3 linked regions of the Macaca fascicularis genome follow. The protein of the gene in region 3 purifies or fractionates together with the protein of the main gene of each other region. This does not show direct contact. Links are inferred from orthologs where the notes say so. Each region holds a gene or a part of one and is shown on either strand. Other genes may lie near its edges.

Region 1 (4,369 bases), on a different chromosome or scaffold from region 3:
AAGTTCTAGCATTACACAGACTAGCTTCCATTTCTCTCTAGAGGTCATTTTTGGCATTTAAAACACATGCTTTTAGAAAACAGATTTGGATGTATGTAAACACAGGGTTAATCCACCACACCCTGGATGCTAGGGCTATTGACAAAGTCATGCTTTGCAGATTTTAAAATAAACTTTTTGTCACTCTTGCAGCTTGGTATTTTCCCCTCCTATTTTTTCACCCCCTCTAAATAAACCTCTTTGTTAACTAATTGGTGTTTCTGGATCATAGAAAATAGTGAGTTTAAAATACAGCATATTTCCAAGCTAACTACAAATCTGAGGACAGTTTTTCGACTGTGCACCTTTCCTTCCATTTCTTAAGTCTTTTTTGGTCCTTTGCAAACATGGCAAGATTCCATATTTGTGTCCCAACTGTGGTAATATTGCTGACTTCGTACTGGAGAGCAGTCAGCTCTAGGCAGCATTTCTTCTGCATGGTATTTAAGTTAAATTATTACCACACACAAAAAAAATCCACATGCACTCCCTTCTTCAATTTTCCTTTTGTTTTTTGTTGTTATTGTTTGTTTTTTCGTTGACGTTTTCTTTCCTACCTGGCATATGGGAGACAATGTTTTCTCCAGCTGGGTTCCTTTTCTCTGGTACTTTGGTGTCTGCCAGTCATGTGTGAGCTACACACACGTATACACCTTTTAAATGAAAAATGCTGTGATAGCAGGAGGCCAACTGGGTGTGTAGCACGTCGCGCTCCCTCCCCTCCCTTTAGCTATTTTGTTACTTGTAGATCCTGGTCTAATTATTTAGCATTAAACGGACACTAACTCTGTGGGGTGTGTAATCGTATTTATAGTACTGTTTTATTAGTTTGCATTCCATCCTGGTAGTGTAGTGATGTCATAAATAACAGAAACATGGTATCCAATGCTTGGGAAGGGGTTTACCCGGTGGCCAAGCCATATTTTACTTGTCGTTATTCCATGTGTGGTGGGAGGTGGGGAAATACCGTGTGTGCTGTTAAACATGCCAGGTCCCTGCACAGGTTAGACAGAGTCCCAGCGCTGTGCTCCATTGGGAAAGAAATGCCCTGTGAATGTGATGTGGTTTAGATTTATAGCAGCGTGGCTTGCAGTGTGTTTGCTGCCTTAGTCAGCTGTGAGAGCGCCCTGCTGGGGCCACTCCTTTCTGATGGAAAAGCAGCAGCTGGGAAGGTGCTGTTTCAGGCTCTTGCCGTTTAAAAAAAAAGCGAGTGGGGGAAAACTCCTCTAAGTCCAGAAGCTGGCATTGGAGGGGGAGAGCGCGGTCATGTGGTTCTGGCCACCCTACCCTCTGTCACAGTGTGGATGAGAGCTTTTTGCTCTTATCCAATCATGCCTGGAATGCCGCTTGCCACTTGGGTTATTTCTGCTATCTGTCGCTCCTGGTGCCGCAGTGCTAACAGTTTGGCAGATGGGACACTTTTTCTTGGAGTTTGTGTCTTTGGTTTGTGACTTCTGGCAGTGCCGGGCCTGTTGTTGCCGCTCGCCCTCGCCCTCCTGGCCCCCCTGGTCACCATGGCCCATCGGCTTCGGTTTCATTTTGGCTCTGGTCGCAGCAACACAGCCCCCGAATCAGAGATCCTAGACCAGGAGAGAGAAGACGACTTCTTCATGGCATTCCACACCCTACCACGGAGGAACAGCCCGCACCCCTTCGCCCAGAACGTAGGGGAGGATGGCGACGGAGGCCTGCAGGGAGGCGTGGGCGCGCTCAAGCGGAGCTCGTCCATGTTCATCCCGCAGCTCCTGACCAGCATCGACGCCCGCCCCACGTGCAGCTCCTCGGTGCAGATCTCCCTGCAGCGCAAGGCCGCGGACGGGGCCACGGATGGGTGCGGGCCGCCCGAGGGCGCCGACGATGGGCCTCCGTGCACCACGCCGGACCCCGGGGACCAGGCCTCCGCCACCGCCACCGCCACCGCCACCACGAGGGCCTCGCCCCAGAGCGGTTCCCGGGAGCCCTCGCCGAGGGACACCCCCGGGAACTCCCCTCCGAGGGCAGCCCGGGACCCGGGGCTCCAGGTCAACGGCACGTGCGGCGGCCGCCGCCGCGTGCGGTGCCCTGGCCCGGTGGACTGCCCCGAGGAGGCTGCCCCGGGCCTGCGCATCCAGCACCGCGCCTCCAGCGCCGACGTGCGCCAGGTGAGGCTGCTGCCCCTCGGCCCGGATGGCCAGGGCGGCCCAGCGGCGGCAGAGCCCAGGCGCTGGTCCCTGCAGCACGTTCCAGATGCTTCTGGAAGCTCCGGGAAGCGGTGTTTTGTCTTCCAGTTGCAGCAGCCCCAGCAAGGCGCTCTGGGGTCAGGCAGTGACCTCAACTTTGGCTTCACGGGCACAAAGGGGGACAGGTTGGTGAGGTATCCCCGCATTCGGCTGGAGAGGAGCACCTCGTACCCCACGCAGCCCCGAAGCGAAAGAGGGAGCCCCACGGAAGATCGGGGAGCCCCGGAGGCACCGCCTCGGGCTGGCAGGATGGCTCCCGAAATCCGCAGGACGAACTCCGCAGAGAGGACTCCGCAGGGCCAGGGGTGCACATTTAAGATCAGGCAGGATCAGAACGCGGGGCAGCAGCATTTTAGAATTCTTGTAACCCGGGGGCCGGAAGAAGCTCCCCAGAATCCCGAGGAGAAAAGCGCCAAAAGCCCTGTTTCCACGGGAGCTGACGCCACGGTAAGTTCACGGCTTGTTTACATGTGTTTACTGATTTCAACTTCGATGCTTACTCTGCGGCGTAACCAAAATAAACCTCACCCTCTGTCCCGGGAGTTTCCCTGCTTCAGGCCAGCGGATCTGAATGTTTGGCCGAGTTCTGGCACGATGATTTGTGGTCCAGAGTTTGGTGCGCAAAACACCATTTCTGCAAATGTCTTCTGTAGGTCCTCAAAGTCAACCAACTTTGTCTGTTTGGGAAATCCAAGCAGAATACCTTCCCCCTGCTTTTATTTTTCTGAATAGAAGAATTTTGAATAAAATTTATTACTTTAATCTGCCAAAAACCAAGTCAGTGCCCCAACATGTTGATGGTGGAAATGCATTTAAAAAGCTGCTTGCAAATATAACCTGCGACAATACTTTAAAAACAATCAGTTCTCGGAAAGGTGAGGATATTGCAAAGGACCTGAGTTTCGTCTCTTAATAGTTAAAGAAGGTGAATGTAAAGTTTGGTGAAATATGATTATTTGTCATGGCCTTTTTGCTGAGGGGGTCAGGTCAGTCGTTGTTATATAATTCGCTTTGGGTTTTTTTGTTGTTTTTTATTTTTTTGTCCCATTAAGTAATACTGAACGAGAGTAGTGTCACTTGTGGCATAGCGACATTACTGTCCCACAAGTGACACTACTGAGATACTAAGAGATGTGTTTTTAAAACAACTGGGTTATGGCCCAAGGCTAGGGGAAACTGACGGGGACTCATTAATGGTCAGATGGCATGCCGTGCAATTTAACACTGTCCACTTGAGTGTCCAAGCCGGGGATGCTGTATATAGAATAGTAAGTACCCTGTCTCCAGCTGTGGAAATAGACGCCTTAGAACAGATTCTGGCCTTCCTGTTTCTCTGTTCCTGATCGCTCCCTTTCAGTGAAATGGAGTACAGGGAGACAGCTGCACACTCCATCCGACCAGGCATATGATGACTCTGCAGCTTTCGTAGAGTGGGATGAAAAGTTTAATCAGTTCGGTTTCTTTTAGTAGTAACCACTAGCCAGTGAGTGCTTTCTCTTAAAGAACAAGCTCCTTATATTTTGAATTGGATATTTTTTTCTCCTGAATTTCATGTGACTGCCAATTTGAGGATACGATTAGTAAATGTCTAGGGGACTTTTTGTTTGGATTTCACTTGTGAATAGTGATTTAGAAAAGTGAGTGTCTGAGTATTACTCTAGAATTGTATTGTCTTTTATTGCTTTGTGTTCAGAAATACGTTTCGTCTTTTAAGTAAACTTTGTCACTCCTCTATCATTGGTTGTCATCATTTTGAAGATACAATCAGATGCTTAATGAAAATTTGTTTTTCTTCATCTCTTTCTTTCCATGTATCTCCTTTCTTTCATTATCTCAAACTCTTCTGTTGGGAAACAGCTAAGTGCTTTGCCTTGGTCGGAACCTATACCATATATTACACAATGGTACAAATTTTGACAGAGTTTTGATATTATAGTAGCCTTTAACCCCCACCCCAACAAGTTACCATCATGACAGTTGTAGGCTTTGTTCGGTAACACAATTCCATGCTGAACTTGGACCACTTAACACATGAAGATTGACAAAAATATATTTCCTAAAGTTTGATAACTATTCAGTTGTATTATCAAAAACTGAAATCACTTTGCAGG
Region 2 (3,646 bases), on a different chromosome or scaffold from region 3:
GCTTTCAGAGGGCTTACCATTTTACAGAGTATGATGCTCTTACATATAACATTCTTTTGGTCTATTAGGGACGAAACCAGGGAAAGTGGAACCACGAGCCCAGGATGCTGTCACTGTGACCATTAATAGAGGTTAATCTGGTCCCAGTCCTGGGCATGCCTTTCCACAAACCTCTGTGACCTGCATTCATGACAAAGACTGAATAAAGAGACCTAGAGACAAAACCTGAATACCATCTATTTTTTTTTTTTTTTTGAGATGGAGTCTCACTCTGTCACCCAGGCTGGAGTGCAGTGGCGCAATCTCGGCTCACTGCAAGCTCTGCCTCCCAGGTTCATGTCATTCTCCTGCCTCAGCCTCCTGAGTAGCTGGGACTACAGGCGCCCACCACCACACCCGGCTAATTTTTTTTGTTTTTGTATTTTTGGTAGAGACGGGTTTCACCATGTTAGCCAGGATAGTTTTAATCTCCTGACCTCGTGATCCGCGCATCTTGGCCTCCCAAAGTGCTGGGATTACAGGCGTGAGCCACCGTGCCTGGGCCTAAATTTCTTTAGTCTATTTATTTAAGGTCAGTGAGAGATGAAAGAAGGCAAAAACATAGAACAAACTGTGATGTTTAGATGGGAGATGTCTCCTACCTTTAAAGTGACATGTTCAGAATCAGGGCTTAGAGTTTGAAGTAAAGAGTCATTTCTTAGTTCAGCTTTCAGTTTGTATACTTCAGCCTCTGCCCTTTTCAAAGATTTCTGGAGAGTCAATTTTTCTCTGTTCCATACCTCTTTTTCAGAGGCAATGATGGCTTCAATGTTGGCACCACCATTCAATGAAAACCTGGAAGACTGCAAAGACCACAGACTACTTACATGATTTTTAAGAACAAGTCTCTGAAGAAAAGTCTGAGCTAAACATATTAAAGATAGCTCAATGATGGTGCAGTCTCAACTTTCTGACCCCACCTAGACAAAGTTCAAAGCCAATCTTAATTGACATTATGCATATACACTAACTCTAAGTACATGGTCCTTTGCTAAATACATTAGTTTTACAACTAAAAGTCCTTGAGAAAGCCTGGCCACAGGGAAGGTTTAGCAGATTAGCAGAGCTTTGAACTAAAAACATCAAGAGACCTAACAGACCATTTGGGTCCAAATTTTGAGCCTGTGCCTGAAATAGTGTATTGGAGAAGTGGGAAAAAAACAAGCCAGTATGTACATAATAAGTGGATTTCTATAAAAGGCACATAAATGTGTTATCATGTATTTAACCATACAGTTGTCTTACAGGTCTTTTCTATCTTTATATTGGGTGATTATGGAAACTAGCAATTAATTTTATACCTGTTTTTAAATGGAAAAATTTTAAGTAAATTCTCAGCGTAATTTATCAGACTGAAAGACATAATTTAACAGCACCTTCTATTTGAGTCATGAACACAATGACTGATAAGTGACCGAAGAGAACAGTCAGGATTCACATTTGAACATTTTGTGTATCTGTTGTTGGTGCCTAGGTAGCAAAGTATCTGGCTTTGGAGATACATGTATCTTGGTTTGACTACGACTTCAGTTCAGTTTTCTCAGGTATAAGGTGGATGCGGATTAGACATTCTTTATGTATACAACTCAGAGTCGAGTACAGAGATGGTTTCCAATAAATAACAGTAATTATTAGTAACTTAGTAGTAATAGTAATATTATTATTGTCATCCCTATAAAATTTTCTACAGATCCTACTAAGAATCAGGTACGTGATAGTTTTACATTAACAGGATTAAAACTTGAACTAGATAGCAGAAATGACAAGCACGCACGAATTCTCATATATGGAGATGCTAAAAATGGACATACATTATCTCTACCAGCTCCTGTCTGTCGATACCACCTGATCTGCTCTTCCAGCTTCATAACCATGTTCCTTAAGTCATTCTTCTCTTCAGTCAGTTGACTGATATGCCCTGTCAGCTCAGCATTTTGTCTCAGTAGTCTTTCAGTCAAGGAGCCACAAGAAGTACTTGGGGACACCAAGCTGGGCTGGAAAAATAAAATGGTGTAAGGTCACTTAAGCACAAATGGATGTGAATAATGCATATAAAGGGTGAATAGGCACCGAGAGCAACAAAGTTCATGAATTGGTGCTTGAGTTGAGTCTTCAGTAATAGGTAGATATTTACCAGGCAGAAAAGATAAGGGCACATTAAGCAAAAGGCGCACAGGCTTGAGCGAGTGTGTATTCCTTTCGGGGTGTTATAGGTTGCCTGTTAAGTCTAGATTGCTTTACTTTATGAATAACAGACCTAAATGTAGGCAATGGAGAGTCATGAAAGGCTTGATGCAAAAATACGACACAAAATTTATGTGTTGGAAAAATTCCTTTGGTAGTAATGTACAAAGCAGGGGAAATTAGGGAAGATATCTTCGTGTCAGGTAGACCTATCAGCAAGTTGTTTCAACAGCCAGGTAAGAAATGCTGAAAGCCTGAATGGAGGCAATGCCTAAGGGACAGAAAGTAAAGGGTGTGCGGGAGAGGTATTTAGAAGATAAGAGGGACAGGACTTAGTGACTATCTAGACGTGCAGGGAAGGGTGAAGGAAAGTGGTCTATGGTGACTTCCAGCTTTCTAAACTGGGCGGTATCATGACTAGAAATGAGGGTCTGGAGCAGGAAGGAGAAAGGGAAGACGGAGTTCAGTTTGGAATGTGCCTGTGAGGTTCCTATAGGGTCACTATGGGGTACATTTCCCTAAGGAAAAATGTCTAGTAACTAACTGAAAATATAAGCCTGGGCCGGGCGCGGTGGCTCACGGCTGTAATCCCAGCACTTTAGGAGGCCGAGGCGGGCGGATTATGAGGTCAGGAGATCGAGACCATCCTGGCTAACACAGTGAAACCCCATCTCTACTAAAGAATACAAAAAATTAGCCGGGCCTACTGGCGAGTGCCTATAGTCCCAGCTATTCGGGAGGCTGAGGCAGGAGAATGGAGTGAACCCAGGAAGCAGAGGTTGCAGTGAGTTGAGATTGCGCCACTGCACTCCAGCCTGGGTGACAGAGTAAGACTCCATCTCAAAAAACAAAACAAAAAAGAAAATATAAGCCTGGAACACAGGACAGAGGTTTAGACTAGAACCACAGTCCACTAAAGATAAGCTCCATAAGGATGAGGTTTTAGTCAGATTTGTTCACTGTATCTCCAGAACCTATCTGGCACTTATCTGGCACACAGTAAGTGTTCAATATAAGTATTTGTTTAATAATAAGTCTAGTGAGAGCTCAGGGTGTTGGACTGTGTGAGCTTTCATAGTTATAGGTTACAGAAAAGAAGGAAGAGGGTAGGAAGAGGAACCATAAAGGTAACTGATGAAAGAAGCAGAAGAAATGTTAGAATACTGACATGACACGCAAGGAAAGAGAAGGTCTTAAGAAAATAAAAGAGATCAAAAGTATCAAATGCTACAAAGAAGTCAAGAAAAAGACTGAAAAGATTCACCAGATTAGTCAATTGTTTAGACACTGGTAGGCGTCTAAGGGTGTTTCACGGAGTAGAGAGGATAGAAGCTAGATCACTCTTTCAGGAAGCTTGTCTCCATACGGCAAAAGGTCAACATAATTATTCAGTAACAATAATGAAAGCTAACTTCCCCCACAA
Region 3 (3,646 bases):
GATCCCAGCCTTGTGCCGCGGCCCCCACGGCCCCCCCACCTGCTAGCAAGAAGGCCCTGCCCTGGTGGCAGGCGGGCTACTCACCACCACAGACTTCTTGGGTTTGGGGCTGGGTGACAGCAGAGCGTGGCTCCGGGAGGGCTTCCGGACGTAGATCTTCCAGGTGGAGGAGTCGGGGTTCTCGGCAGCATAGCACCTCCATGCGGTCTGAGGTCGGTCAGGGGAGAGGCTGTCACCTGCTGAGCCACCCAGTGGGGGCCCTTATGGAAGCTACAGCTCTCCCTCCCTGTTCCCCAGGCCGGACCCCCTCCCCTCTGGGTGGCAGGGTCTGGGACCTCAGAGTCACAGGCTTGACGTGGTCCCAGCTCCCAGACCCTCTGCCCAGGCAACCTGGCTTGGTCCCTTGCTGTACCAGGCAGCTCACCGCTGCCTGGGCCAACTGTTACCCACAGCTGGGACACCACAAAGGGCTTTACCGGCCCTGAGCCAGCCTTGAGCCAAAGGCAAGACTCGCAAAGGTGGGCAGGTCGCACATCGTCCCCGGGTGCCAGGGTGCACAGCGTGCATAGGAGACCAATGCAGAAATAGGCAACCAGCGGCCACACAGTAAGGAAGGGCTGAGAAAGAGAGGTCGTCCGGGACCTGCAGGTACTGAACAGGGGGCAGGGAGAGGCAGGGTCCCTTGGGCTGACAGGAGGTGAGGTCTCTCCTAGAGGCCTGTGAGTGCCACCTTGCAGTTGGGGGAGCCTCTGATGGCACATGGGTGCAGCTCTGAAGCCAGCATTTCAGAGAGACCCTATGGCAGCACCACATGGGAACAGTGGGAGGAGGGGACACTATCGGTAGGGGACTTGGCGGGGGGAAGTTGTGCAGCGTCCAGGTGGGCAGGAGGGGCTCCCAGGGCCTTGTTTGAGGACACATCCTGGTGGCCTTGTCATCACTGGCCACATGAGCCTGAGAGAGGGCCAAGTGGAGAATGTGTCCCCACACTGGTGGGCTCCTGGGTGATAGTCCCAGATAGACACAGCAGCTGGCGAGGGGCACCTGCAGCCCTCACTCCCACCCAGCACCCAGGGACAGGCAGGCAAGGGCACAAGCCCAGCCTTCCAAGGCCCGAGCATCACACATACAGGACGAGCACTCCACGTGGTCCCCCAACCCTGGCAAACCCCACAACCCCTGCCCTGCTCCTGTGCAGGCCTGTCACCTGGGGCCCCCACTCCAGTCCTCCCACAGTGTGTGCAGCTTCCGAGGGAGCCCCCTTTCACAGGACCTGTGGTTCCCAGGGAGTGGGACTAGGAATCCAATGTGGTCCCCTGCTGGGTGTGGGTGGCCAGCATGCTCACGCTGGGACCAAGGTGGGTTTACGGGCCTGATTTACGGTATCCTGGGAAGGAGAAACTGTGAAGTCAGGCTGAGGGTGGGAGCTCACAGCCCCCCGATAGCTGAGCCAGGAGCCTGGCAGGACTGCGACTTGCTCCTGATAGCCTGGGCCTTGCCTGGGGCAGCAAGCTCAGGAGGCCTGCAGGGGGCATCCCAGCCAGCAGGGGCTGCCCAGGCCCTGGGCCTTCCTGGGGGACATCAGGCCCAGTGTGCCCAGAGGAGCTGACACTGCTCCCAGCCAATGCACTGGGCAGAGGCCCTATCCCTAGCGGGCACTTGTCATTCAACCTAGCAATGCCCACCCTCCGGGCCCCTCAGCAGCTGTTCCTCAGGGCAGCCCTGGCCCTGCGGTGGCCAACAAGAGAGACCCACAGGGATGCAATTCTCAAGTGGCTTCTGTGCTAAGTCCTTGCTTATGTTAACAGGGCAGTCCCATTCTCTGGTGGGTCCTGGAGAGCCTGGAGTGACAGAGCCAGAGCCCAGCGTCCCAGAGCTTGGTACTGCCTGCCTCCCACCCACCTCCAGGACCTTCCTGCCCATGATGCTCCAGGGCTCTGCCTTTCCCTACCCACTGGCCTTGTGAGCCCAGAGGGAGGCCCATGCCGTCCATCGCCAGCCCTCACCTCCAGGCACCAGGGCCTCCCGAGCCCTGAGGGATGCCAGGCCCTCCAGAAGGCACCAACTGCACAGCTGGGTCCTACCTCCCTTGGGGACAATCACCTGGCTCTGCCACTCCCAGACTCAGCCCTCAGGTTGTTGTGCAATGGGAGGGAGAATGGGAGCGCAAGGGAGCCTCAGAGCCAACCACGTCCACTCCTGGCATGGCCATGGCCGTGCCTCCTCTCCAGCCCACAGGGTATGGCCCTTGATGGGAGTGGCTTTGGAGGAAGACAGGCTCCAGCGCCCCATGCTCACCCCATCACCAGAGAAGCCAAGGCTTCCACAAGCAGGGTATGCCCCACAGGCCAGCCAAGCGGACACAGGGGCCAATGGTGGTTCCGACAGGTGGCCATGAGGGCTGGACGCAACAATAACAGTGACCAAAATGTCAGTGACTAGGGCCTTGCAGGTACCGCACCTGAATGAGTGAGGCTGCCGCCGGGATCTGCCGGTTGAAGTGCTTCTGCCTCTGCTTTTGCTGCACCTTCAGGGCAAACCCCGAGCCGAGAATCCCCTGGGAAGGAATGGACAGGAGGGTCCCGTCCACACAGGCCACTGCCAGCTGGGTGCAGCCTCAGGACATGGTTACCAGTCACAGTTGTGGGAAGGCCAGGCATGGTCAGTGCTGGAAGTTCCCCAAGTCCCACCTCGGGCCCAGCCTGCCTGTCCTGGGCCAGCATGGGGGGCAGAACTTATACCCCAGGCCCCAGCAAGGGGCCCAGTCCCATGGGGCGGGGCTAGAGCCTCTCTAACCCATTCCCAGGGACCATTCTGGGGGCCAGGTGGGCTGGCCCATCTGTATGCACCCAGGAAGGGGTCATACCACTGGGATGGGGGTCGCAAGTGAGAAGTCGGCCCTTCTCAGTCACCACTGCTGCCGCCCTGCCCAAGGACGGCTGATGGGATGCAAAGGACCCACCCAGAAGCTAGAGAACTCCCGGTCTACAGAGGGGATCACGTGGTCCATATGCATATGTGACGCACACGCACACACAATAGATATGCACACTAACACACACTAACAAACACACGCACTAACACACACACACTAACGCACTAACACACACACACACAAACACTAACAAACACTAATAAACACTAACACACAAACACTAACACACTAATGTACACAAACACACACACTAACACAAACACAAACATGTCTATATGTCATGTGCACACACACACAGCACATAGATGTATAGTATATATACCTGTGAAACGCAGATACATACACATATGCAAACATACTAATATACATGTATAATGCATACATGTGCACACAACACACCACACATACTAAATACAACATATGCACATACAATACGTATACACAGTATGCACGCACATATACGGTACAATACACACCCATGCGATACATATACACATACCCATAGTATACAAGTAACATAAAATTATACACACACAGCATAAACACATATGCACATACACACATAACACACATACACCCACATACGGGCACTGGGAACTAGACACATCACCTAACAATCTGTGGTTTCTGGAAAGGCCATGGAACAAACCCCCTCCCCGGCCAGCCACAGCGTGGAAGTGCTCTCTCCAGGCACAAGATTCTGCCTCCATG

What was found.
Region 1: the proteins of KCNQ1 (region 3) and NEDD4L purify together in Homo sapiens (affinity purification with western blotting, with the first as the bait; 3 studies listed by BioGRID). This does not show direct contact. The link is inferred for Macaca fascicularis from reciprocal best matches to the Homo sapiens genes KCNQ1 and NEDD4L.
Region 2: the proteins of KCNQ1 (region 3) and AKAP9 purify together in Homo sapiens (affinity purification with western blotting; 3 studies listed by BioGRID and IntAct, with this or other methods). This does not show direct contact. The link is inferred for Macaca fascicularis from reciprocal best matches to the Homo sapiens genes KCNQ1 and AKAP9.

Annotation. Positions count from the first base shown.
Region 1 is NC_088392.1:22,722,352-22,726,720, reverse strand, and holds the start of NEDD4L (E3 ubiquitin-protein ligase NEDD4-like), read left to right. Parts: upstream 1-1,428; 5' UTR 1,429-1,553; coding exon 1,554-2,705; intron 2,706-4,369. UniProt on the Homo sapiens protein: E3 ubiquitin-protein ligase that mediates the polyubiquitination of lysine and cysteine residues on target proteins and is thereby implicated in the regulation of various signaling pathways including autophagy, innate immunity or DNA repair.
Region 2 is NC_088377.1:129,252,109-129,255,754, forward strand, and holds part of AKAP9 (A-kinase anchor protein 9), read right to left. Parts: intron 2,034-3,646; coding exon 1,851-2,033; intron 843-1,850; coding exon 642-842; intron 1-641. UniProt on the Homo sapiens protein: Scaffolding protein that assembles several protein kinases and phosphatases on the centrosome and Golgi apparatus. Required to maintain the integrity of the Golgi apparatus. Required for microtubule nucleation at the cis-side of the Golgi apparatus.
Region 3 is NC_088388.1:2,508,488-2,512,133, reverse strand, and holds part of KCNQ1 (potassium voltage-gated channel subfamily KQT member 1), read right to left. Parts: intron 2,558-3,646; coding exon 2,462-2,557; intron 208-2,461; coding exon 85-207; intron 1-84. UniProt on the Homo sapiens protein: Pore-forming subunit of the voltage-gated potassium (Kv) channel involved in the regulation of cardiomyocyte excitability and important in normal development and functions of myocardium, inner ear, stomach and colon.